Cricetulus griseus: one gene and its partners. The protein of the gene in region 6 interacts with the protein of the main gene of each other region in a pairwise test. Links are inferred from orthologs where the notes say so. Each region holds a gene or a part of one and is shown on either strand. Other genes may lie near its edges.

The links.
Region 1: the proteins of Gopc (region 6) and Vtn interact in binary tests that used the Homo sapiens proteins (3 or more experiments, as listed by UniProt). The two-hybrid records come from large-scale screens. The link is inferred for Cricetulus griseus from reciprocal best matches to the Homo sapiens genes GOPC and VTN.
Region 2: the proteins of Gopc (region 6) and Dpyd interact in a two-hybrid assay, tested with the Homo sapiens proteins (2 studies listed by BioGRID and IntAct). The link is inferred for Cricetulus griseus from reciprocal best matches to the Homo sapiens genes GOPC and DPYD.
Region 3: the proteins of Gopc (region 6) and Hck interact in binary tests that used the Homo sapiens proteins (3 or more experiments, as listed by UniProt). The two-hybrid records come from large-scale screens. The link is inferred for Cricetulus griseus from reciprocal best matches to the Homo sapiens genes GOPC and HCK.
Region 4: the proteins of Gopc (region 6) and Myocd interact in binary tests that used the Homo sapiens proteins (3 or more experiments, as listed by UniProt). The two-hybrid records come from large-scale screens. The link is inferred for Cricetulus griseus from reciprocal best matches to the Homo sapiens genes GOPC and MYOCD.
Region 5: the proteins of Gopc (region 6) and Rhoq interact in a two-hybrid assay, tested with the Homo sapiens proteins (2 studies listed by BioGRID). The link is inferred for Cricetulus griseus from reciprocal best matches to the Homo sapiens genes GOPC and RHOQ.
Region 7: the proteins of Gopc (region 6) and Rnf183 interact in binary tests that used the Homo sapiens proteins (3 or more experiments, as listed by UniProt). The two-hybrid records come from large-scale screens. The link is inferred for Cricetulus griseus from reciprocal best matches to the Homo sapiens genes GOPC and RNF183.

What each region holds. Positions count from the first base shown.
Region 1 is NC_048600.1:91,887,869-91,892,035, forward strand, and holds the start of Vtn (vitronectin), read left to right. Parts: upstream 1-1,367; coding exon 1,368-1,431; intron 1,432-1,520; coding exon 1,521-1,640; intron 1,641-1,718; coding exon 1,719-2,066; intron 2,067-2,149; coding exon 2,150-2,289; intron 2,290-2,461; coding exon 2,462-2,618; intron 2,619-2,776; coding exon 2,777-2,929; intron 2,930-3,496; coding exon 3,497-3,856; intron 3,857-4,065; coding exon 4,066-4,167. UniProt on the Homo sapiens protein: Vitronectin is a cell adhesion and spreading factor found in serum and tissues. Vitronectin interact with glycosaminoglycans and proteoglycans. Is recognized by certain members of the integrin family and serves as a cell-to-substrate adhesion molecule.
Region 2 is NW_023276806.1:39,350,756-39,354,255, forward strand, and holds part of Dpyd (dihydropyrimidine dehydrogenase [NADP(+)]), read right to left. Parts: intron 2,421-3,500; coding exon 2,205-2,420; intron 1-2,204.
Region 3 is NC_048599.1:26,878,472-26,881,971, forward strand, and holds part of Hck (tyrosine-protein kinase HCK), read right to left. Parts: coding exon 3,492-3,500; intron 3,144-3,491; coding exon 2,991-3,143; intron 920-2,990; coding exon 740-919; intron 1-739. UniProt on the Homo sapiens protein: Non-receptor tyrosine-protein kinase found in hematopoietic cells that transmits signals from cell surface receptors and plays an important role in the regulation of innate immune responses, including neutrophil, monocyte, macrophage and mast cell functions, phagocytosis, cell survival and proliferation, cell adhesion and migration.
Region 4 is NC_048600.1:79,089,679-79,093,178, reverse strand, and holds part of Myocd (myocardin), read left to right. Parts: intron 1-1,206; coding exon 1,207-2,103; intron 2,104-3,500. UniProt on the Homo sapiens protein: Smooth muscle cells (SM) and cardiac muscle cells-specific transcriptional factor which uses the canonical single or multiple CArG boxes DNA sequence. Acts as a cofactor of serum response factor (SRF) with the potential to modulate SRF-target genes.
Region 5 is NC_048598.1:88,602,082-88,606,110, forward strand, and holds the start of Rhoq (rho-related GTP-binding protein RhoQ), read left to right. Parts: upstream 1-1,229; 5' UTR 1,230-1,428; coding exon 1,429-1,570; intron 1,571-1,787; exon of another isoform or gene 1,788-2,113; coding exon 2,114-2,172; exon of another isoform or gene 2,173-4,029. UniProt on the Homo sapiens protein: Plasma membrane-associated small GTPase which cycles between an active GTP-bound and an inactive GDP-bound state. In active state binds to a variety of effector proteins to regulate cellular responses. Involved in epithelial cell polarization processes.
Region 6 is NC_048595.1:256,537,883-256,541,382, reverse strand, and holds part of Gopc (Golgi-associated PDZ and coiled-coil motif-containing protein), read right to left. Parts: intron 1,647-3,500; coding exon 1,519-1,646; 3' UTR 1-1,518.
Region 7 is NC_048595.1:83,435,990-83,440,124, reverse strand, and holds the start of Rnf183 (E3 ubiquitin-protein ligase RNF183), read right to left. Parts: upstream 2,801-4,135; 5' UTR 2,644-2,800; coding exon 2,470-2,643; intron 1-2,469. UniProt on the Homo sapiens protein: Acts as an E3 ubiquitin ligase catalyzing the covalent attachment of ubiquitin moieties onto substrate proteins. Triggers apoptosis in response to prolonged ER stress by mediating the polyubiquitination and subsequent proteasomal degradation of BCL2L1.

The DNA of each region.
Region 1 (4,167 bases), on a different chromosome or scaffold from region 6:
AAGGTGAAGGGCTGGAAAGAGAGGTCCTCGATCCCCACTGCTCACCCTGTCCCGGGTGATGTGGAAGCAAACTGAAGGAATGGATCCACATCCCCTTCGGATGGTTAAAGAACCGCAGTGAGCTTCTTAAGGCCCTTTAATGCCTGCTTCCACTTAGGCTTCACATGTCTGTAGGGAGTAAGATTTAGTGCTTCATAGAGAAGAGACAGATTATAGAACAGAAAACTTAGGGGCTTCAGAAGCATACTGGTGCCTGAAACATGACACGAAACCTGGCATTCTGTGCCAGTGAGCATCTTCTTCATAGCGGGATCACACTTCATAATATAAGTCTAAAAATATGCCCAATGAGTTTATTCTTTTTAGAAGGGGTCACTGAAGGTGGATTCAGTGGATTAGTGGAGGCCTCAGCAGTGGGCTCTGGGAGTGGGGAGATGGCTTAGTTTTTAAGAACACTCTTTTTTGCAGAGGTCCGGGATTTGATTCCCAGCACTCATATGGCAGCTCACAACTGTTCAAACTCCAGTTCCAGGGTGTCCAAAGTCCTCTTGTGACCTCCACAGACACCAGGCATGCACATGGTGCATGGACACTCATATACACAAAATAAAATACATAAATCTAAAATTCAAGAAAGGAATGGACTGTGGGCCAAAGCGTTAGGAGCCACTGCTTCCTATGCTGTGGAGCCCAGCTTAGAGGGAACCATGCTTCCACAAGGAGAGGCTAGAAATGAAGCTTTATTCTTTTATGATAAGAAAAGAAACCTCCCCCAGAGTGCCTGGCAGCTCTCCCTTCACCCCTCCTTCCACTCCACTGCCCCAAATATCCAACTAGGAAGTGGGGGTAGGATGGGACAAACACCTAGTCGGGGATGGGCCTGATCAAACAACGAATCGATAACTGCTTATGGGAATGAGTTGGAAGCTACTTCAGGCACCAAGCATTTTGTCTGTTCTGGCTCATGTAATTTCTCAACACCTGATGAGGTCAGGCACCATGGTCCCATTTTATAAAAGGAAAGTCTCAGAGAGATTAACATAACTGGCTCACAGGGTGATAACACATGCTTTCTTTCTGCCTTCTCAACCCACCATGCTCTCCCAGCTGCCCATGACCCTTCTGACTCTGGACTTGGCAAGGTTTCTACTTCTCAGCTCTCCTAGGGCTGGAGTTCTGGGAATGTGACCCTTAGCTGCAGCTGTGTTTGGAGGAGGGCAATAGGGCTGGGCCAGAGGATGAGCAAATAGAGGCAGAAACCTAGTAAAATAGCAACTCTTCTTCAGTTTGATTCTTTTCCCAGGCTGGACGGTGAGACTCTGGAAGCTCCGAGCCCAGCTTGCCAGACCCTCAGCTAGAGGCCTGCCATGGCGCCTCTGAGGCCCTTTCTGATGCTAACCCTGCTGGCATGGGTTTCTCTGGCTGACCAAGGTGTGGGGGTGATTGGTGGAGATCTAGGGCGATGCAGGGTGGGCAGGTGGTCTGGCCTGGGCTGTAAAGACTAATATTCCCTCTCGTAGAGTCATGCAAGGGCCGCTGCAACCAGGGGTTTGTGGCCAACAAGAAGTGTCAGTGTGATGAGCTTTGCAGTTACTATCAGAGCTGCTGTGCTGACTATGTGGCACAGTGCAAGCCCCAAGGTTTGTTCAGAGCCCTGGTGGGTGGGCATGGGATCGCCTGTGTGACCGGAAACTCACTACTGCCCGCTCTGCCTGCAGTGACTCGGGGGGATGTGTTTACTATGCCAGAAGATGAGTATTGGTCCTATGACTACACGGAAGAGACCAAGAATGGCACCAGCACCCATGTACAACCGGAAAACACGTCTTTACACCCTGACTTACAGCCTCAAACCTCAGAGCCAACATCATTCCTAAAGCCTGAGGAACAGGCTCCTACACTGGAGGCAAGCACCTCAGGGCCTGAAGTGGGCTACCTGGAGGTGACTTCAAGGCCTGACACCACTGCTCAAGGGACCTCTGACTTCCCAGAGGAAGAGCTGTGTAGTGGGAAGCCCTTTGATGCCTTCACGGACCTCAAGAACGGTTCCCTCTTTGCCTTCCGAGGTGCCTCTATGGACAGGTCTGGTGTGGGGGGAGGAGAGTCTGCCCTGGCGCATCTGTTTCTCACACAGCTTCCCCTTCTCTAGGGCAGTACTGCTATGAGTTAGATGAAACAGCAGTGAGGCCTGGGTACCCCAAACTTATCCGAGATGTCTGGGGCATCGAAGGTCCCATTGATGCTGCCTTCACTCGAATCAACTGTCAGGGGAAGACCTACCTTTTCAAGGTACCAGACCCAAGTCCATGAGTCAAGGTAAAGGGTATCATGGAAGGTGCTGGGAGATGTGAGGAGGAGGTAGTAGGGGGTTCCAGAAGCTGCTGAGAGCCAGTTTAGGATGTAGGACTGCCTCTTTGCCCAGCAGTATGTCCTCACCCTTTTCATCTTCCCTGCCCCTCAGGGCAGTCTGTACTGGCGCTTTGAGGATGGCGTTTTGGACCCTGGTTATCCCCGAAACATCTCTGAAGGCTTCAGTGGCATACCAGACAATGTCGATGCTGCTTTAGCCCTTCCTGCTCACCGCTACAGTGGCCGGGAGAGAGTCTACTTCTTCAAGGGTACTCTGGGTGGGAGGTGAAGGGGCAGGTGGTGGAGGAGTCCCTGCTCTCTCCTTTGCTTCCCTGGGTGGGGACTTGGGGTATGCTACCACCCTGCCTCGGAGCACCCCAGCCTTAGTCAGATCTGCCCTTCTGATGCCAGCTATCCTGCTCCCCAGGGAAGCAGTACTGGGAGTATGAATTCCAGCAGCAGCCCAGCCAGGAGGACTGTGAAGGCAGCTCTCTGTCAGCGGTGTTTGAGCACTTTGCCTTGCTGCAGCGGGACAGCTGGGAGGACATCTTTGAACTCCTCTTCTGGGGCAGATCCACTGGTACAGAGGGAGTAGGACCAGACTGTGACAGTGGGGGCTTCAGGGGGAGGAGGGACTGGAATGGTGGCACTATCGATCAAGAGCTGTTTGCTCTGGCTAGACTTTGCTTCTGTTGACTTTTGGGGGTGAGGCTTGGCTCCACTTGGACCCCATACCTTGGACTTTGCCTGACACAGCACAAGGAGGGGCAGTGGATGAGGGATTTAGGAGGGGGCAGAGACACAAGGGATACAGTGGGTTGAGGACACAGGAAAAGGCACTGGACAGGGAGTCTGAGGCCTGGGTGCTGGGTACTGAGTTCTATCATGAAGCTTGTTGTGTGTCTTGGGCAAGATGAACTCTAAAGGCCTGCTGGGGCCAGCTGTGGTGGCACACACCTTTAATCCCAGCACTCTGAGGCAGATCTCTGTGAATTAAGAGGCCAACCTGGTCTTCATAGTGAGTTCCAGACCAGCCATGGGTACATAGAGAGACCTTGTTTAAAAAAAACATAAATAATAAATAAATGTCCTGCTGGAGAAATTAAAGCCTGGATCCTCAAAGTAATTAACCCCTTCCCTGCTACAGGCGGCGTCAGAGAACCCCAGTTCATCAGCCGGGACTGGCATGGTGTGCCAGGGAAAGTGGACGCTGCTATGGCTGGCCGCATCTACATCTCGGGCTCCACATCCCACTCTTTCCAGGCCAAAAAGCAGAAGTCTAGGCGACGCAGCCGAAAACGCTACCGCTCACGCCGTGGGCGTGGCCGCAGCCGCAGCCCCAGCAGCAGCCACAGCCTGAATTCTCGTCGCTCATCGCGTTCAGTCTGGTTCTCTTTGTTTTCTAGTGAGGAGAGAGGGCTAGGAGACTACAACTATGATTATGATATGAACTGGCTCGTACCTGCCACTTGCGAGCCCATTCAGAGCGTCTATTTCTTCTCTGGAGGTGGGAGCCCCTGCTATCCCTGAAGCTGGTTTTCCTTGGGTCTCTCCTGCAGTCTCTGGTCCCTGGGTGCTGAACACAGCCTGTAGATGGTGACCTTACCTGTATAGTGGATGTTCACTGTCACTTCTGAGAGAAATCCTTGTTTTCCTTCTTGGGACCAGCGACAGGACCAGGCAGGATCTTACACACCTTTCTGTTCTCTCTTTCAGACAAGTACTACCGAGTCAACCTTAAAACACGGCGAGTGGACTCTGTGAACCCTCCCTACCCACGCTCCATTGCTCAGTATTGGCTGGGCTGCCCAGCCCCTG
Region 2 (3,500 bases), on a different chromosome or scaffold from region 6:
AACTTCTTATAAAACTGTCTGTAGGGGACAGTGTAAGACACACCTGTTAGAAGGTGGCTATAGGTGTGCTTGACCACGCCCTGACGGCTTACACTGTCCCCTACAACTGTCAGACAAAGAAAGCTGTAATACTTTAATGATAATACTGTCAGCTATTGATCCCAGGAAAAGAAGAAAGCAGGTAGAATGAGCTCTAATCACACATGTTAGTTCTCTGCTATTTTCTTTGCCCAAGGATAAGGCTGATTTAAATAATGATACTCCCTTTAGTGACTAGACCTACCCATTCTTACACATTAATTATTACTAACTGCAACATAGTACTAACTACATTAATGGGGTTTGCCATCCAAAACTTTTTCAATAAATGGCCCATGAGATGTTCCTATTCATTCTATAAATTAGACTTCAAACTCACCACCATCTAAGGATGCTGTCTGTCTTCTATCCCATCAGTCACCCAACCTTGGAAGTGTGCATTTACATGGCTTTTATGCTTAAAGTTATCTTACATTTATTTATTTGCTTATTTGTGTGTGTGTGTGTGTGTGTGTGTGTGTGTGTGTGTGTGTGTGTGTGTGTTTAAAAGAGCGCATCCCTTGACATAGGGCTTATGTGGCCACCAAGGAAATCTTTCAAGAATCACTTTCCCCTTTTATCATCTCAGTTCTAGTAATCAAACCCAAGTTACCAGCCTTGACTGCAAGGTCCTTTACCTGCTGAGACATCCCACTGGCTCTGCTTTTTGCACTAAAGATTTTATCTCAAAATCATTTATTTGCTAAATATGTAGCTCTCCTTGTAAAAGCATAAAACCATAGTGTCACATGGAATTAAACTGGTTGGGGTGTTTTTATTAAGAAATTCTTGAGAAATCTTAATACCACAATCAACAAATTACAGTGGGAAACTCTCTAAGACATGTAGTGAATAACGGGATTTTATGCAAACTAAATCCATTGTTTCCCTAACTTTGAATTGAAACATATGTTGTCATTTACACACATCCTAAAATCACAAAATAATAATGTCAAAACAAAGAATTAAAAATAGAAACTCTCATATTATCAGGCAGCCCCCTTACATTGGGTTACATATCCAAATGAAACAAAATCAGTATGCCAAAAATATGTATTCCCATGTTAATTGCTGCACTGTTCACAATAGCACAAACATTGAAACTTCCTTAATGTTCATCAAGTGATGCACGGATAAAGAAAGTATAGTACAGAAACACAATGGGGTACTTTTCAGCATAAAAATGGAATCTTGAACTGGCAGCAATGTGGATGGAACTCAAAATCATTATGGTAACTGAAATAAGCCAGTGACAAGGAAGACTTGTATCACACAATTTTTCATATATGGAATCTTAAAACAGATAGATAAGTGGTAATTAGGAGTCGAATGGTATTTACTAAAGGCTGAGGCAGCAGGAAGAGAGAGGCTTGGGGAAAGGTGTGTCAGTTGGGTTAAAATTACTTAGAAAACAACCCTGGTGTGGTACCCCACAAAATCATGACTGTAAATATCAGGAACATACCCTGCATTGCAAAGAGGTAGATAAAAGCAGTTTGAAAGCTTTCTGCATAAAAATGAAATATTTAAGACACAAATGTTTAATGTGGTTAAAACACTACACAATACATACAAATAGCAGAACATCAAATGACATCCTCCTAATATAAACAATTAAAGTAATTTGATTCAATTAAAACAGGGATTAGTGATTGTTAAATCACTACTATACTAGTTTTTTATTTGTGTGTAGGGTTTTGAGACAGCTCTCACATAGCTCAGACTGACCTTCAAATGTAGCTGAGGATAGCCTCATATGTTTGATCTTTTTACCTTCATTCCCTAAGTGCTAGGATTATAGGCATGCACCACCATATTGTTTCATGTAGTGATGGGGACTGAACTTAGATTGCTGTGCTTGACAGGCAAGTCCTTTACTAACTGAGCTACATCACCAGCAAAATATATTGTGATGTTTCTTAGACAATACAAAATGAGAATATATTCCACACCCCTCTATCTGTGGGATAGACAGAATTAAAGAAATTTAAACTATAATGTTTAATGTTTTCAACTATTCTGTAATTATCATGTTTCAGATTTAAAACAGCATTCCATCTTATATTTACATTTTAATGAAAATGCATGCTAGACATTTGCACGTAATTTCAAACATATTATCTTACCTTATCAAGAGAGAAAGTTTTGGTCAAAGCAAAACCCCATCCAGCTTCAAAGGCCCTTCGAATCATTGGTGTGCTAGTGGCTGGTGTGGCACTGGCAAGGCCAAAGGGATTGGGAAACCTCAACCCAGCCATTTCCACACTGATGTCCACTAGGTCTACAGGAGTATAAAATAGGGGCAGTTCAGGCTGAGCAGATACCAAGGTTCCATATTGTTCCTGCAAGAAACAAGTCAGCAATAACTTCTCTTGTATCATATCCGAACTGCCATAGAATCATTCCCAAAATCTCTTCATCACAGTACTCAAATGAAACAATTGGTCCATTTCCTGAAGAAAACTGCCCCAAAGTCAGATTTTAGTGCCTCAACATTATACATAATTATCATTGTCCAAATTAAAAGTTCACTATAGATGTGGTGAACAGAAGGAAAATCAATTAAACAAACAACCAAACAAAAACTCTATTTCAAACACACTGCGATTCAAGCACAAGAGGGGATCATTTTCCAATTTATCTTTCTGGTTCCATTAACCCAGCTTCTTTGTACTTCATTTATGAAAATGTCTTAGCACTGAGATATGGGACACTGCAAGTGAGGAGGTCTAAATTCATTTCCCAGTAATCTCACTGCTCTGGATGTGGTTTCAGGACAGTCCCTTAGCATGCCTTGTCTCTTCTCCTCTATAACTCTCAGCACAGCAGTGGGACTTTGGCCGTCTCATTTCCTACCTCAGAGGGATATTGGGGAGTGTAGAAAATAGGCCACAGGGAGACTTCTAATTACAACAGAAATGACACACTTGAGGACTGAAGGAATTTGCCTTTTCAGAAACATAACTAGAAACAGATACCAGTTTACATTAAACTCTCCAGGTGACACTTCAAAATGCACAGAGCCATTGTTCATTGGTCACTATAACCAAGATGTTAATATGTTTTAAAAAAACATTTAGGCATCTGGCTCACTAAAGGATAGAAAATGCTTGATGAATGTCTTCTGTCCTCTTTCCTTCCCCTCTCTCTGCATTCTCTCTTTCCCTTCCTCATTGTCACCCTCTCCTGTCCCTCTCTCTCCCCTCCTCCCACTTTCTGTTTATCTATGAAAGACAAATACTTGAAAAATACAAAAATGGATAAATATTCTCAGGCAAAGTAGTCACTGAATGGACAGGGCTACTTAATTCAAAAGTAGAACTCTGTTCTCTTGTGAATCATCACTCAAAGAAAAGGTTATTTGAGCAGAACCTTAATTTTATAGGCATGTGTCTTGTGTAGATAAAGATTACCATGACTTG
Region 3 (3,500 bases), on a different chromosome or scaffold from region 6:
GAGAATGGGTGCCCCTGGGCCTGGCTTTAGGAAGCCAGCTGATTGTCAATTTGGAAAGTGGAAAGGGTTTTGAAATTTCAAATCACATTGAATGATGTTGTGTGAGATGTTTATCCAAAAAAATGAGCAAGGGCTTAAAATGACTGTGGAACAGCTATCTTAAAATAAATAAATAAAAACAAAACCAACAACAATTTAAAAAAGAAACCCCGAGAAGCCAGGTGTGGAGACATACGTGCTTGTGAGGCTGAGGCAAAGGGCTGCCGTGAGATTGAGGCTAGCCTGGGCTACATAATGAAATCCTAGATATGCTGAATGATCACAGGTAGGGCAGCCCAAAGCTTAGGAGCCTGGAGTGACAACATGAACATTTCCCATGATTCTGTGGGTTGAACATAGCAGGCTGGGTGGGCTGCGGCGTGAAGTGAGGTGACAGAGGCAGAACATTCATTCAATGGTGTCTGTCCCCATGAGGCTTCTTGTCCCTCAGGACTCCAAGCAGGGCTTCGCTACAGCCCAGCGCCAAGGTTCCAAGGTACAAGTCACAAGAAAGCCACATGCCTCTCCTGTTTTCCCAGAGGCTCTGCCGGCTCCCTGCTCTGAAGCCCCCGCCCTCCCTCTCCACAAGCCACCCTTCACTCGATTCCACTCCGTGAGCCAGGAGGCTGGACTGACTGTGGTGCTTTGTGAGAAATTGTTGGAAGTCTGCCTGGACCACAGTCCGTCCTAGCCCACGCACCTTTGGCCATGAACTCGGTGACAATAAAGATGGGCTCCTGAGTGACCACGGCATGCAGCTTCACCAGCTTATCGTGCTGCAGCGTCTTCATCAGGTTGGCCTCCGCCAAGAAGGCTTCCACAGACATGCTCCCTGGCTTCATGGTCTTCACTGCCACTTTGGTGTGCTTGTTGTAGGTGGCTGAAGAAAGCATGGAGCAAGGAAGGGGGTTAGGATCCAGCAGCCCTGTGGAGCCCTCCCTGCCCACCCAGTCCTGTAAGACAGAGAGAGGGTGCCACTTTGACCTCAGCTGCCCTCCCTGCTTCCTGGATGAGAGCAAATGAACAAAGCACCTCAGTTCTCCCGGCTGTGTTTTCCTTTTCTGCGACGTGGAAATGAAAATAAGTACTCACTCAGAAGGAAGGGTTGTTTGCAAGAGTGAAAGACAGCCTTCTATCTGAGCTCGGGGCACACACCTGTCACCCTAGAACTCCTAAGCTTATGAAGTAGGAGGGCTGGCAGCTCCAGACCAGCCCATGTCTCAAAAAACAAGGGCTGGGACTGGAGCTCAGTGGTACAGCACTTGCCTGGCACATGCAAAGCCCTGGATTTGATCCCCAGCGCTGTAAAATAACAGTAGCAACCCTTAAACCACTAATTAGATTGTGGCATGAGCCTGTACACAGTGTTTAACTGCCTTGGAATAAATACCAGATTCACTATGCCCCACAGACTCTGCTTGGCCTGGCCATGCTTGCTTTTCTGTCTTTGTCATCCACCAAGGTCACCCCCAATACACACAACTAGTGACTGAGCCAGGACCTCATACTAGGAAAGTGCTCTACCACTGAGTTATGTCTCCAGCCCCCTTTCACTTTTTATTTTGAAAAAGGGTCTTACTAAGTTGTCTCAATATAGTAGCTGGGTCACTAAATTTATTCTCGCTTTCTTTTTAACAATTAAATTAAATTAATTACTCTCTCTGTGTGTACATGTGTGTATCTGTCTTGTGTGCACGTGTGTGTGTGTGTGTGTGTGTGTGTGTGTGTGTGTGTGTGTGTGTGTAGGTCAGAGGACAGTCTTTGCCAGCCAGTCCCCTCCTTCCACTGTGGGTTCCAGAGACTGAATTCAGATCATCAGACTTTTGCAGCAAGCCTTTTTTACCTGCTGAACCATCTCACTGGCTTCTCTCTGGCTTTTAAACACTAACCACCCTGCATGTACGTGTCCCTCAACCACTCAGCTGTGGGGACTTGGCACACTCTGTTCTCTTGGTCCATCCCACCCTGCTTCATTTTATGGCTCTTGTTCTATATTTGCTTTTCTTTCCATGTGTGCTTTGGATGCTGGGAAGCTCAAATCCAGATCTGTGGGCTTCCTGTAGTGACGACATGGGGACAGTTTTGTTTGTTTGTTTGTTTGCTTTAATTTGCCCCAACTTTGCTGCTCAGATCTGTCTCTCCTCCTTGCATTTCCTCATGGTTCCTTCTTTAATTCAGCACCTGACATTATCCAGCACCTGATATAGCAGACTATCAGTAAATTTATTGTCAGACAGTGGTGCCCATGCCTTTAACCCCAGCACTTGGGAGGCAAAGGTAGGAGAGTTCAGGGCCAGGCAGATATATATAACTAGTTCCAGGACAGGCAAGACTACACAAAGAAACGCTGTCTTGAAAAACCAAACCAACCAACCAACCAAACAACTTACTTTATCTGGTCAAATGTTTGCATCTCTACGAGTTGCCTCCCTCCCATCTGCCACACAGGGGAGTGTTAACACAGTGGGTCAGACACTGTGACCACCTACCTCCCCATGAAACAGGAATTGCTGTTCTTAAAGTACTGGGACAAGGACCACAGAGGGGTGCCAGACCTTTCTGCTGGCACCCCATCACATCTGAAATGTCACTGGGCATCGTGGTTCATGATCTGAACAGCTTAGTCTTCAGTTGCCAGCATTGGACTCACCTAAAAACCCAAGTTCTTTCCACCACTGTGAATTTTCACCATCCCAAGAGGCCCTGGGATGTCAATTCCACACAACAAAGGGCCTTCACCATCCAGGACTCGGGACTCCTAGAGGGAAATTCTTTGACCCTCAAGTCTGGCCACAAAGGCAAAACAGTGATTCCCCAGTAGACAATTTGGTTTGTTATCTGAGGAGTGGCCCTCTGGGGTTATTATTCAAATGTCCCTCTGCTGTGTGATGTCCCCGCACTGGCAGGGCCCTCCCATCATGGCCCTGTGGACTCTGGCCCCAGCTCCTTACCCATCCACACTTCTCCAAACTGCCCAGCGCCAAGTTTCTTCTCCATCTGGAGGGATTCTCGAGGAATCTCCCAGGCATCTTTCTCCCATGGCTTCTGGGGTTTGGGAGACACACATGGCACTGACAGCTTCTGGCAGAGCCCGTCCTTCCCCTCTGAAACAGAGTTCCAGTCAGCAGGCAGTACAAGTGCAGAACATGAAGAAATGCTGCCAGGAAGACCTCTGAGTTCCCGAAGGCTGGCTGTCACGCAAAATCCCATGTGACTGGGATTCTGAGAGACAGGCCCTTCTCAATGGGAGCCGATGTGATCCAGGACTTGCCTAGCATACACCAGCCTCTCGATCCTTCCCCAGAACCAAACAACCCTTGTAAAACACAGCCAAGGTGTTGAGGAGTGAAAGCTGTGGCTAGTGATAGCATCCCAGCTGGGCTGCACTGAGCAATAATAACCAGCTTAGGCTCTGCAGGCAAATGTGGGGCATGGCCATGGGCAGGACTCACTCTTGTAGT
Region 4 (3,500 bases), on a different chromosome or scaffold from region 6:
AAGCAGGAATTAATATCCCACTTCAAAGAGAAAGCACAGAGGATCAAGAAGCTAGGAACAGGAAGGGCCTAGTTTTTATCGTCATGTGCTTTCTTCAATATGCAATTGCTATCCAGGCAGTCTGGAAAGTGAAAATAGACCCAACATATAGCTGGGCATGGTGAGGTATGTCTGTAATCCCAACACTGAGGAGATGGGGCCAGAAGATTAAGAGTCAGAGGCCAGCCAGACAAAATGAAGACAAAACACAAACTGAGGAGGTGGAGAGTAACAACTTGTCTACCTTGTGCAAGACCCTGGGTTCCATCTCTTGAACAAACATACATTTGTGTCTATGGATAGTCACATATACACATGCACAATCTACCCACTCCCTAACTCCCCCTCAATGATGTTCACATAAAGTCTTGTTCTAAAAGTCTGGTCCAAGACCAGAGGCATATATGTCCTCCTGGGATTGTTATACGTGGAAAATCCTGGTCCCCAGCCACGACCTATGATGTCTATCAAGCTCTGCAGTGAACTGGTACATGTTTAGATTTGAGAAAGTGCATATGGCAGAAGAATCCAGAATTGCTGACAATTGTCACGGCTTGCTGTTAGACTTGTGTCTAAGGCCAGGCAGACACCAGTTTTCCACAGAACTGACCCAGGCTGAGATGGGGTTGGAGAGCTGTGGGTTAGGTGATTTTACCATTGGATTAAGGGTAGATGTGGTCTTCACTACAGTGGTTTATCTTTTCATTACCATGGTGTAAAATGATATGCAATCTGTACACATCAAACTTGAACTGGTGTTTGACACTTGGGCTAGTCAGTCTTTTCTGTTGGGCATCAGGAGTGGCCTCTGGGCCCAGTCTTGTCGGTGGTCATGGGAATGGCTGATGCTACTTGCAGGCCTTGCCGCTCAGCTGGTTTGTTCCAGAAGCTAGGTGTATTCCTTGTGTTTTTGAATTAATGATGTTTTCACATTAGGATGGACTTATTAGGAAACAAAGTTTTAGGAAGATTTGTTAAAATCCCATAAAATCGGTTTAAATAGGAGGCAGGAGACATGTTACAAAGAAGCATTAAAAGAGACATGGGTAAATATTGTAAAGTTCCCAAGTGTGTGTCCCATATTCCAAAGCTCCCTAAATACAAACACAAATACAGTGTGAGCACACTTCACCCGACACTGTTCTAATGGGACCCTTGTTCCTTTAGGTGTCAGAATTAAGACAACAGCTTCGAATACGAGGCTTGCCAGTGTCGGGCACCAAGACAGCACTGGTGGACCGGCTTCGACCCTTCCAGGATTGTGCTGGCAACCCTGTGCCCAACTTCGGGGACATCACAACTGTCACCTTTCCTGTCACACCCAATACCTTGCCCAGTTACCAGTCCTCCCCATCAGGCTTCTACCACTTCGGCAGCACGAGCTCCAGCCCACCCATCTCTCCCGCTTCATCTGACCTGTCTGCTGCAGGGTCTCTGCCGGACACCTTCACCGATGCCTCACCTGGCTTCGGCCTGCATGCCTCCCCGGTGCCCGCTTGCACTGACGAGAGCCTGTTGAGCAGCCTGAATGGGGGCTCAGGTTCCTCGGAGCCGGATGGGCTGGACTCGGAGAAAGACAAGATGCTGGTGGAGAAGCAGAAGGTGATCAACCAGCTCACCTGGAAGCTGCGGCAGGAGCAGCGGCAGGTTGAAGAACTGAGGATGCAGCTGCAGAAGCAGAAGAGCAGCTGCAGCGACCAAAAGCCACTGCCCTTCTTGGCCACCACCATCAAGCAGGAAGATGTCTCTAGCTGTCCCTTTGCGGCCCAGCAAGTGTCTGGGAAGGGACAGGGTCACAGCTCCGACACCCCCCCTCCAGCCTGTGAGGCTGCTCAGCTGCTGCCCCACTGTGTGGAGTCCTCAGGTCAAGCCCATGTACTCTCATCCACGTTTCTCAGCCCCCAGTGCTCGCCTCAGCACTCACCCCTGGGGGCCCTGAAGAGCCCGCAGCACATCAGCCTGCCCCCATCGCCCAACAACCCTTACTTCCTGGCCTCCTCCTCCGGGGCGCAGAGAGAGAGCCATGGGGTCTCCTCACCTAGCAGCAGTCAAGGGTGCGCACAGGTAAGTACATATGACCTCGCCAAAGGGTGTCTCGGGAGGTGGGAGGTGGACTTCCACCATTAGAGAGTTGGGGAAGGTTTCCTAGAGGCTAAGCAGCGCCTCACTGACTCTAGGGTTCTTGCGCCTTCACAGCCAGTCTTTGCATCACCGCAGGCAAGCTTTCTCTGTAAAGACTTAGAAGGCAAATGTCTGGAAATCATAGTTCCTGCACCAAACTCCTAAGCTTTACCCTTGTAGCAAATACGCACCCACAGACAGCTTGTAATAATGCATAACTTTCCAATATAAAGTTATCTGCAAAATCAGATGCCAAGCAACATTAAGCTTGTGGGTTATTGTTTGCTGATTAATGTTCTCAAAACTGCTTTATATCAACCATTATCATTGCCCAAATCATTCTATCCAGAGATCCAAAAGGAAGTTGGGCATGATGGCACGGGTCTGGAATTCCAGCACTCTGGAAGCTGAGGCAGGGGATTGCTGTGAGTTTGCAGTCAGCTTAGGTTACATCCCAAGACCACATTTTGGGGCATGGGGTGGGGTGGGAGTGACAGTGAGAGCCTGTGTGTGAGAAAACATTTCTCCTTCTCCTACATCCTTATCAAATGTTTATTGGGACCTACTATGTGTCACACTCTAGTGGGGGCGGGTGAGGGGGGAACTCAACTCCTGTGGGAAGACAGGTGATGGGTGTTGAGGAAATAGAGGATCTGTCTTGTGGAGAGAGTAGAGAAGGGCTGGGTGTGTGAGAAGCCTGGAAGTTTGCAATCTCCACTAGAGGGGTCAGGAATGTTGAAGAGGAACCTTGGAAGAGGCCAAGAGGAAACATTGTGAATATCTTGGATGAAGGCATAGGAGAAGCAGCAGGTGAAAGGTCCCTGGGGTTAAAACCTAAGTAGAAAGCTGAAGGATCAGAAAGAAGGCCAGCCTGTGTCTGGGACAGAATAAGCAAAGAGCTGTAGGAGAATGAGAATAACATGTCTATACCCAACATGATCAGCAAAGACTTTCCTTTTGTTCATGGAACTAATGGATTATTAGAAAGTATATAGGAGACTATATGAAGAAGAAAGCTGCAGTGTCAAAAGATTATAAAATCTAAGAAGATGACTCACATTGGGTACCTGCCAAGGCAAGTATTAAGAGGAATGAATAGAAGCCATCTTGTCTACCATCACAGCAGCCCTGTAGCTCCAGTTTAGTGTTTTTCTTTACCATCAAGAAAAAATGAGATCCAGGAAAACTGAACTCACTGCCTAGAATGCCAGGAGTTGTTGATTTTAAACTCCATAATGAAATATCTCTACCCTGGGGGTGTGAAGCATGACTAGAGGTAACAAGTGCACTTACCTAACAACACTTCAAATCAATGATACCCACTCCTGAAAGAACATACT
Region 5 (4,029 bases), on a different chromosome or scaffold from region 6:
AGCACAGCAATTTCTACCACTGTGAATCCGTGAATGGAAGCGACTTCCCTGTCAGCAAGCTGGGGATGGCGTGTGGTGTAGGGTCAGCGCAGTCTGCGCCTTCGCTCCAGTGCCGTGAGTGTTAAGCAGCCGTGGGCCACAGAATGGTCCTGGCCAGACAAGTGTTTCCGGACTTGCCAGACAGAGGCGCAGGGTTGGCCCTGGATCCCTGGCCAAATCTCAGAGCATGAGGACACATCATCGTATCTCAAGGATCACAAACGAATACTTTTGGAGAGACCTTTGGGAAAGAAAGGAAGCCTCGGACAATGTCGCCTGCAGGGGGAGCACAAACAACATTTGCGGTCTCCTGACGAGGGCTCGCCTCTTTGTGGCTAGCTTGGGGGTGCAATATGCTGCATCTCTCTTAGTCACCGATTTCATAGAAAATGACTCAAGCTCGTGCTGAGAAAGAAAGGCGTGGGGCGGTGATGCTGAAGCAATGAGCCAGGAGACCTACCACCTTCCCAGCCTCCGCGCGGCTTTCTAATTATTGTTATTAATTATTTTTATAACCCTCTTGGCTGCTGTTCCTGATTTCTAGTTGCGTGGAGCACTTGCAGGCGGATAGGATAGGATGGCTCCTGCCTTCCAGACGGAATTTAAATAGATACATCTGTATCATTTTGCACAAATGCGTCACCGTTGAAGTCGTCGTGGTTCCCCGAAAGGCCTCCACGTCTCCTCCCGGCACCAGGGCCTGCAGACGCTTCCGGGCTCTGGCCGCACTTTCGCGAGGAGCCCTGAGCTCCTCCTGAGCCGCTGCCCGACAGCCCCTCCCCCAGCTCCCCTCCCGTCCTCCCGGCTCCCGGGCGCCTCCTCCACTGCCTCCGCGCCCGCCTTGCGGGGAGTCAGGCTAGGGTGAGCGGTAGGACCCCCCACGGCGGGCGCGGGTGCGAGCGCGGGGCACGGGGCGCGCGGCACTCGGGAGCAGCGGAGACCGCCCTCCTCCCGACCCAGGCAGGCGGGGGCCGGGGCGGTGCGGGGCGGGCAGAGCCGCCTGGCCCCCCCTCCCCTCCCCTCCGCCGCCCTCCCCAAAGTTGCCGACTCCCCCGGGGCCGGACAGTCTTATGATCCGGCGGATCCTCCTGGGGAGGCCGGGCCGGGGAGCGGGTTCGGGTGCCGAGCGGCCGGGCCAGCAGGCGGACGCGGCGAGCGGGGCCAGGGCGGGGAGCGGGGCAGCGATTGAAGCAGCGGCGGCTGCGGCGGCAGCGCCCCGGGCCCGCCGCACCTTCCCCTCCGGTGAGGGGAACCGCTGCATGGGGCCAGGGGGGCGCCCTGCTGCGCCGAGCGGCGGCGACGGCGGACCCCCCAGGCGGGCTGGGGCTGAGCCCGGGGCCGGGGCGGGGGCTCCGGGGAGACCATGCCCCGAGGCCGGCCGGCCGCAGTATGGCTCACGGGCCCGGCGCGCTGATGCTCAAGTGCGTGGTGGTCGGAGACGGGGCGGTGGGCAAGACGTGCCTGCTCATGAGCTATGCCAACGACGCCTTCCCCGAGGAGTACGTGCCCACTGTCTTCGACCACTACGCAGGTAAGCCTCTGTCCTGCTGACTGAGGGGCTGATCCCGGACCGGGAACTTTGGAGCAACTTTGGCTGAGCCCCCTGGCTGCCTCCTCTGAGCGTGCTCCCCTCCCCCGCCGTGCCCTCTGCCTGGCGGCCCCACCCCCGAGACGAGGCTGTGCCTCTAGTCACCCCTCAAATCAACTCCCACCCCTCCCTGTCTCCCCCCTCGCCCCTTCTCCCACACTTCTCAGTCCCCAGAGCGCCCTCCTTGACCTTCCCGCGGTTGCTTCCCTTACTGCCCCAAGCCCCTGTTGGGGAGACATCTGGGGATACTAGGGTAGACGTGGCTATGGGACTTGGGAGAAAAGGGGTGGATAGCAGGGGTGCACATTTCGCCTAGATCTCATGCCACTTTGGCAGCGAGCTGAACGTTAAAAAGGTGGTGTTCATTCCCAGGGATCACCCACACGCCTCCCCGTGTTTGGGGAAGGGGGGGTCCGTGGGTAACGAAATTGCTCGACCTCAGGTCATTGTGAGCTTCTCTCCCCACCCCCACTTCTGTCCTTGCAGTCAGCGTCACCGTCGGGGGCAAGCAGTACCTGCTGGGACTCTATGACACAGCTGGACAGGTAAGTGCCTTGGCCTCTGGCCGGTTCCTTTACCCCCACCTTTCGCCAATTATGTGTGACTTCGAAGGGCCTTCGGAAGCTGAGGTGTCTAGGTGGGAGGGTGTGTCTTCCAGGGGCTCCTTCGGGATCAGGTCTTTTCTTAAGTCAGCAAATTAAGGAAACAAACCAAAAAGAAAATGCAGACCAGTGCGAAGCCCCGGGATGTTAAAGTTTTTGACTGTATGGGTCGTTATGTGCGTTGCCTGGTGTGTGGGTCCCAACTCCTGTTGCAAAGTGGCGGCGGCCAATGGTGAAGCGCTCTTATTTTTAGTTGCTGGTGACCAGGTCTCCCCCCTCACAGCCTCTGTCTGGTCCCTCATTGGTGAGTGGTCTGCCTGCCCGAGGAGCCTGATTGGTGGGAAATGGCATCATCTAACATGATGGGAAGGCATTTGGTTCTCGTTATGTTTATTACAACATCATTGCACTCTGGGACTCCAGTCCCTGAAAACGTAATTTGTGGTGTTACCAGAGAACCACAGGGAAAAAGGAAAGAAACAACAACCCTCAGCCACTCCCTGGGGTGCAGAGTGGCTAGGGTTAAGAGTTCAGCATGAGTCTTTCTTCCCCCTGGAGGGCCAGGTGACTGTGTTTTCTCTGGAGAGATTATTGTGCAGAAAAGAAAGAAAGGCTTCTTCCTTCAGCCTCTGGCTAGTGTTTGCAAACCAGAAGGGCCGGGCTGTTCTCCTGAAGGATTAAGGCGTTTTTTTCTCTCTCCCTGACCCAGCACTACCGACTCGCCAGACCCACTTTCTTTCCTCTGGGGCTAAGGTGATGAAGTTTGCAGAATTCAGCTCTGCTATTTGGCCAGAAGTCTAGGGAAGAAGTTTCTGTGTTGTGCAGACTTAAGGACCCTGAGGAGATGTGAGCCACTGAAGGGCTGCGGTGGCTCTCGGGGAAGATCAGTCATTCAGTTTCTTCTTTATTTTCCAAGCGGGGTGGGGGTGGCTTAAGAAGAAAGAAAGAAAGAAAGAAAGAAAGAAAGAAAGAAAGAAAGAAAGAAAGAAAGAAAGAAGGAAGGAAGAAAGAAAGGAAAAGAAAAAGAAGAAAAAGAAGAGAAAGACCACTACAGATACTATATACCAAATATGTGTTGTTGGTTTAGATTTGCCTTTTGGAATTGTACCTCTTAGATTCTATATTGACGTCTAGAAATATCTTGTGGGTTGAGCGTTTTTTTGGGGGGTGGGGGGCTTGAAGTGGTCCTGATTTCTAAACTGTTATTGGAACATCTGAGAAGTACTGGCGATTCAAAGGGCCAGAGGACATTCCCTGTCATCAAAGGTGTTCAGGCCAGTGCAGCCAGGATTGATTCTCAGATTTGGGAATAGCCTAGTTTGGCTATTCTTTCATTGCCCTCACCCATCAATTACGGAAGGCAAGGAGTGGAACTCACTTAGATACCACCAACTTTTAAATTGTTCTGTTGATAGAGAAGATGTTAACAACAGTTGAAGATAGGGAGTTGGGGGGGTTCTAATTTTAACTTTTCATACTACCTCATTTCTTTGTTGCAGTGATGGAGTTTTAACCATGCACTTTTTTTTTTAACATGACATGTGAATGTCAGAAGTCTTTATGCAGAGACCCAGTTACAATTAACCATATGCCCATGTATGTACATACCAGGTCATGCAGCACACAAGAGTTTGCTGCTGAGATAAAGACCCTCGCATCACCCCAATTCGAGGTCCTGGGAAGTGCAGATATCCTCCCCTACATTGGCCAGATGTTAGTGTGCATAAAGTACCTGAAGTTTCCTAGTCATTCTCTTGGTGGTGGTAGACAGGGTGGGGGTGAGGAGGGTTCCGTGCCACC
Region 6 (3,500 bases):
GGAGCAACTGATAATATGTAACTTTTTATTCATTTGTACAATTAAAATACTAACCTTGCTTACAGGCAATGTTACACTACAAAGTAGCTCAGCATTAGTAACAATATACAGACCAAGTGCACTTCTAGTGACCAGTTACCATGGTGATACTCTGAAGAATGAAACCACCCACACAGACCATAAATGAGTAACAGTTACAAACTAAATTTATAAATAGCAAAAAATCACAAAATAAAGTATATACATTTTATAGATTTAACTTTGAACAAATATATAATGCATCTAGGGAAAAACAAGCATCCCAAGAAAGGTTTATCCTAAATGATAATATCCTGAAAGCCTTATATGGAGGCTTCTCCCGCTTACTATTCCCTTAGGTGTAAATCCTTTAAGACAGTGACATAGCAAAATTCACCACCTCTTTAAAGACAGTATTTGACTTTGCCCAGCAAGGTGCAATGGTCTGTGGGTCAGGAAGGAGGGAGTAGGCACTCTGTGCTTAGTTCTGATACAGGAGAACTAACACATTACAGAGTTTACATATTAGTATTGCTTTAGTCAAACATATACTGATATGAAAACCAATACGGTCACTGTACCAAAATGTCTTTACCTTGTCTTGCCCACCTTGGCTCCTGGTTTTTTAAATGATTGGCAAGTCAGGTACTTAAAGCAAACTGCAGTTTGAACACAATGTAATTCATGACAGTAATGTGTCCTGACTATCACAAGCCAAAGCTTATGAACAACTCAAAATGTATGAACATTTGAGAGTAAACACTAACAGTGTAGTGCTCCAGTGCCATGCACACAGATCAACATAATTGACAACAGGTATTTCACACTCGTCTGAGTTTCCTTTAAACCCCAAAGTAAAATGCACAGTAACTTCTCAGAAACTATTTCTAGTGCAGCATTGATTGATTGATACAGGATTGCCTAAAGAAAACTATTTTGTACTGCAGCTGAATAAACTGGAAAGCAAACTCGTTATAACAAATGATCATGAAGAATTAATTTAGATACCCGGAATGTACAACACACCTTTTTAAAAAACCTGAAAGAAATTTTTTCAGTTAAGCAAAAATGTCTGCAATTCACTGAGTCGAGCTCTGTCATCTGAAATTCTAGTTTATCCTTAGGGAATATGTGTTGTGGATTCCTCTATTCTGCTCTATTTAAAGGGTACTTAGAAAATCCAGTTAGCATTGTCCTGTTACATATGAAAAGGAGTCATGAACTAGCATCCACTTGGCCCTGAAGAGCCTAGTAATACCCCTTGGGAAACACATGCTTTGGTGCTTAGAGTCCAGGAAAATCAAAATGGCCTTCCATGCAATAGCTAATTAAGGTCTACCACAGAAAATAGGGGTTTCTGCACTTAGAATTGTTCACACGAAGCCCTGAGGTTCCCGCCTGTCTTTAGGCAACACACAGCCTCCCTTGATCTTGTGCAATCTTGGTACCATCTTCCCTAGTGCCCCCAATTCAAGAGTCTGACGAGCGTCTGGGGATGGATTAGTAAGCCTTTTTATGATGCAGGCTGTGCAGATCGGCTGCTCTTGCTGTGCTGTCATCCAGGGGGCTTTCACCTGAAGCCCCCATGTCCCCATTCTCATGCGTGTCACTCACTGTCTTCTTATACCCTGACAGAAAGGAACACAAGAAAAACCAGGAAGTTTTGGAAGGAAATATGTTTAAGTTTTATAATTTTACTGAGAAAAAAATGACCATTAACATTATTAGGAGTGACATAAGGCAAACTAACACTGCCTAGATCAAGTTAATAGTGTTTAACAAACATCAAACACCACACGCATCTTAAAGTATTACCTATTGAAGCCACCTGAAAGTTGTGAAATATCTATCTAGTTTTCTAAAAAACTTAGGGTTGATAAACTAAAATAAAAAAATCCAATTTTACTTGCACAACCATCTACTGGAATGCAAATGTTTCAATTTTTATATTTTGCTTCCACACTACTTCAGTTCACTAAGCTGCATGCTAATTGACTGCTAGACATTTAATCCATTGGCAAGATAATGACTGAAGTCATTAAAACAGATTCTGGTTAATTTACCTAACAAATAGCAGGGTTGTAAGTAGACATGGTTGACTACAACACCTATTAAGTAGGCTAAGAAAGACCTGTATTAAACAATAACCAACAGATGTATTTTAGCTAGGTAGTACCTGGGAAGCTAAGGCAGGAAGATCCCATGGTCAAGGACAGCCTCCGCTACACAATGAGTTCCTGGCCAGCCTAGGAGTCATAGGAAGACCTCAAACCCAACCAAGATATACTTTTCATTATCTGGCTCAGTGATACCATATGGCATGCATTTTGGCTGAGTCATAGTTCATGTTTTAAGTGCTTACAGTTTACATAGGTAACAAGTTTCTTAACATCAGATATAACAAAAGTAAGGAACATGTTTTCTTTCTTTCTTTTCTATTTATTTGTTTCTGTCCTGGAACACACTCTGTAGCTCGGGCTGGTGGAACTCAGAGTGCTAGGATTAAAGGTGTGTGCCACTGCTGCTCAGCTTGGAACAAGTGTTTTTAACATTCCTGATAGTAAAAAGACAATGGAACCATGGATAGCAGCTCAACAGTGTAAGGTTCTGACAAAACTCCACAGCAGTCCATCCATGTGTCCTGTGCCCCACCCCCACCCCCCTTAAGGCACAGTCTCACTGTATTGCTCTGGCTATCCTGGAACTTAATTTATAGACCAAGTTAGCCTCAAACTCAGTTTCAACTGTCTTAGCCTCCTAAGTGTTGCTTGTTATTCATTTCTAAAAACATTTTAGAAATTTTAACATTTTAACATTTTAACATATTTATTTTTATTTATGTGTATATGTATGTACACATGTCTAAATGCCTGTTGAGGCCAGAAGAGGGCATCAGATTCCCTGGAACTGAAGTTACATTAGGTTGTGAGCTGGGAACTGAACTCCAGTCCTCCACAAGAGTGGCAAGTGCTTTGAACCTCTGGGTCATCTGTCCAGCCCCAGTAGCTGCTAGCTTCCCAGAAGGTAGCTAGGTTTGCATCTAGGTGTTTGTTTACTTTATTGCAAATGCATGCAGACAGACTTGTAGCTTCACAGACGTGTAGCTGGGGAAAGTATTTTAATTGTCCTTTTCAAAATACTGTCAACATCTCTTAGTACTACACAAATTCTAACATTATCAACACACAGTTACATTAGAGTTCAACTGCTTTTCTTACACTGTGAAGGTGATACACACAATTTTGTAAAATCACATACAGGTCATACAAAAAACACTGGGTTGCTGAAGCAAGCAGCAATTCAAAAACTGACGTATTTTATTGCACTGTGTAAGAATTACATTCTTTAGTGTGTCCATCCACCTCATTCCAAACTCACATATGGGAATCAGCCAAGCTCATGGGGGATTGATGCCATGTTCTACAAAACACTAACTTTCACTTAAGAGCTCATATTTCATTTCTGGCAATAGAAACTCTCAA
Region 7 (4,135 bases), about 170 Mb from region 6:
AAATCCATTTTATTTTAATTTAAAAATGTGGAGTATTGAATGTATGTCTGTATACCAAGCAAATGCCTGGTGCTCGTGGAGGCCAGCAGAGGCTGTTGGAGGTCCAGGGGTTGGAGTTACAAACAGTTATGAGCTGTCATGCAGGTGCTAGGAATTGAATCTGGATGCTCTGGGAGTGCTCCTAATTGCTGAGCCATCTCTCTGGTCTCCTATTTCCAGCAATAATACAGAGGATTGACTAGAAAGGCCAAAACTGGAAACAAAAGGTCAGCTATCAAAGGGTCAGTTATGGCTACAGCAGTTAGTTCAAGTGTGTGACAGTGATGTCTGATTTAGGGGAGGTGAGGGTATAACTGAAAGAATATAGCACATAATAAATATTTGAAAAATGTTTAGCATCTATAGCCACCAGGAAAATGTAAATCAATACTGTATTGAGATTGCACCTCATCTAGTCTGAATGGCTATCAAGAAAACAAAGAACAAGTGGTGGCCAATCTTGTTTGTCAGTGAGGAAACTTGCCACCAAGCCCAATGACCTGAGTTCCAGGCCCTGGGCCCACATAGTAGAAGGAATGAACCAGCTTCCATAAGTTGTCCTCTGACCTCCCTGTGAGCACAATGGTGCACGCTCCTCCAAATGAATTTTAAAAAGTAAATAAAAATGAAAATAAGTGTTGATAAGGACTTGGAGAAGGAGGAATCTTTGTACACTGCTAGTGGGAGTGCAAACTGGGGAAGCCACTATGAAAATTAGTATGGGGCTCCTTGAACAACTGGAACTACTCTGTGACCCAGCCATATCCCCCCGGTGTGTACACCCGGGGGAGTCTAAATCAGCAGCATGGATATATATGCCACAGAGACATCTGTTCATTGCTGCACTATGAACAACCACCAAGACATGGAACCAGCCTAGTTGGCCATCAACAGATTAGTGGATTTTTAGAATAAGTGTTATATAAACACAATTGAGTTTTATTCAGTCATAAAGGATGAAATTACACTATTTGCAGCAAAGTGGAGGGAACTGGAGGTTACTTTGAAAAATATGTGCACCATAGAAAAATCTCTCCCAAAAGATGACATACCAAATGTTTTTGTTGTTGTTGTTTGTTTGTTTGTTTGTTTGAGGCAGGGTCTCATTTTATACCCTTGGCTAGCCTGGAACTCTCTACATAGACCAGGCTGGCCTCAAACGCACGTTGATCTGATGTCCTCTGCTTCCCAAGTTCTAGGCTTAATGGTATGCACCACCACTCCCAGAAACAACTAAATGTCAATAGTGGCCTTCAGTGTGGGCAAAACCACCAATCTGGTTTATTGCTAGAGCATTTGTTCTTAATTCTATTACTTAAAAATGTTGGCTTTGGGGCTGGAGAGATGGCTCAGCAGTTAAGAGCACTGGCTACTCTTCCAAACCTAGGTTCAGTTCCCAGCACTGACATGGGAGCTCACATCTGTCTGTAACTCCATCTGCAGGGGATTCAACACCCTCACACAGATAGATGTACATGCAGGCAAAGACCAATGCATATAAAATAAGAATAAACAAACCATTAAAAAATAAAGAAAGGAAACGTTAACTTTGTTCTGGTAAGCTTGTCTTCCAATCCCGGAAGACACCCCCACCCCGTCATCCTAGACCAGACCTACATTCTCTGAAGTGCAATGGCCACAGCTATAAATGGATGGTCCGTAAAGAGATGTGAATGTTGGAATGTTGTCTGGGTCCTTGTCAGAGGTGCTTCTCTTAGGCACCCACTGCACAGAGTTCAGTGTCTCTAGGAGACACTCAGTGACTTATGGACCCCAGCTTCCTACCTGGATAACTCGGCAACAGTAAATTCTAAACACCAGATGGCAGTTATTATTAGCAGTAACTTGTCTGGAGCACCCCTGTACCCCCATGTTGTCAACACCCTGCCAGCGGGCGTAGAGAACTGGCATTCTGATGGCACTTGATGGCTTTCCAAGGGGGCTGGTCCTTGCTAGTAGCTGAATATGGTAACACATCTAGAAAACCCAATTGCCTTTTACAACTGTTTCCATTTTTATGAGGCCATTTGATTCTCTAAACCCTGCCTACAAACAAGATAGACAGAGGAGTAAAGAGTCTTCACGATTTGAAACAAGACTCTTGCTGAACGGAATGGATGACTTCATTTCTCTGAACTCCACTTCCCTCTGTTGAAGAAACTCACGAGCCCTCCTTACAGGCTGCTGGGAGGATGGAGTTGTCCTTAGCATGGCACAGTGGGTGTACTGACCGTACAGGAGTTAGCATGATTTTGTTAATGCCCATCTGATAGATGGCGAGACTGGGGCTTGGGGTGTAAAGTGACTTGACCAGGGCTTCAGAGCCAGGGTGACGGAGCTTGAAAACTGACCCAGGATTCTGCCTTCAGGGTCTCAGTTCATACCAAGCAATGTCATCTGCTCCAACCTCTCCCACCCTTACCTCCTTACCAGCTTCAGCAAGCCTTCTTCACTCTCAGCACAGTATCCAGGCGGGTGCTTCAGTTTCTTGCTTCTGTCCTGGCTTCCAAGTTGCTGGGGGCCAGCCTCATTTGCATGGGTTTCCCAGCTCTTGAGCACTCTCTGGCTGGTTTCCTCCTCGGGTGACTTTGGACTTCTGCACATACAAGAGACCTAGACGTTTGCTTCTGTGAGTCACCCTTGCTTTCTCTGAGCGGGTAGAAGGAAGTCCACTCATCCTTGCAAGCTTCTGTTCTGGAACGGGAGGGGCTCTAGCCTTCCTCTTGCTCTGGACTGACCTGTCTGGACTTGCCCTCAGCCTGACTTCAGGGAAGCCAGGGGATCCCTAAAGCCAGATACATGGCTTCTCTGAGGCCCTGCAATGAAGGCACACCAAGAGCTCTTGCAAAATACAAGATAACCCAGCAGGAAAACAAAACAAAACCAAAAAATGAATGACAGTTCAGTAAGCATAAGCCAGAAGTACCTGAATTCTTCAACAAGCCACTGGGAATCCAGAACCAGTGGCTTCTGCATACACACTAGCCATGAGGACAGGACTTCACCTCACCTGCCCTTGGGTTCTTCACCTGAAATTGGAGGGGGAAAAAAAAATCCACCTACTGGGGCTGGGGCTAAGAGTACTTACTATGCAAGTACAAGAACCTGAATTCAAATCCCAAACACTTGAGTAAAAATCTGGGCATGCCTATAACCCTAGCATTGGAGAGGGTGAAGGGTGGAGATTGGCTGGCTGGTCCTGGGAGCCAGCTGGCCAGCCTACCCAAACAGCAAGCTTCCAGGTTGATGGAAGACTCTGCCTCAAAAGAATAGAGCAGAAACATCTGATATCCTCCCCTGAAGGCTACATGCAACACACACACACACACACACACACACACACACACACACACACACACACACACACACACATACACACCTACCTACCTGCAGATTAAATGAGATAATACACAGAAATGTTGCTATATGGTAAATGGCACACAGAAGCACACAGTAAGCTTCAATTAAAAACTGTAACATGATCAAGTAAATAATGAAATACAAATGGAGCACACACACAGAAGTTCAAATGGAGACTGGAAGACTGGCCCTGTAATCTGTCCTATGGCCTCACCATCTTACAAAATGTATTCCATATGGCCCATTTTTGCTCCCTTTTGCCGGGGGGGGGGGCAGTTTGAGACAGCATTTCTCTGTAACAATCAGAGCTGTCCTAGAACTCACTTTGTAAACCACGCTGTCCTCAAACTCACAGAAATCCTCCTTCGTCTGCTTCTGCAGTGCTGGAATTGAAGGCACATACTGACACCACCCGGCTAACATTATTTTTGAACAGGGTCATTCATGTGTTTATGAAAGGCTTGATTTTGTAGCAAAAGCTCTCTTTTCCCAGCCATTTAGTTGCACCCAAAATTAAAGTATTACACTATATGCTTTTTGTGTCTCTTTTCAAAGATGTCTTGTGTGTGCACAAGCAAAATGACTGGGTTCTTTGTTCCTTCTCATCCTTTTCTCCACATGTGTATTCTCCAAGCTGCTTGACCCCTTGCTGCAAATGTCCTTACTCACTGGTCCTCACCATACCTACTGTTCTTGTTTTTGTAATGGCTATATTGTTTCACTGATGGCTGTGCCA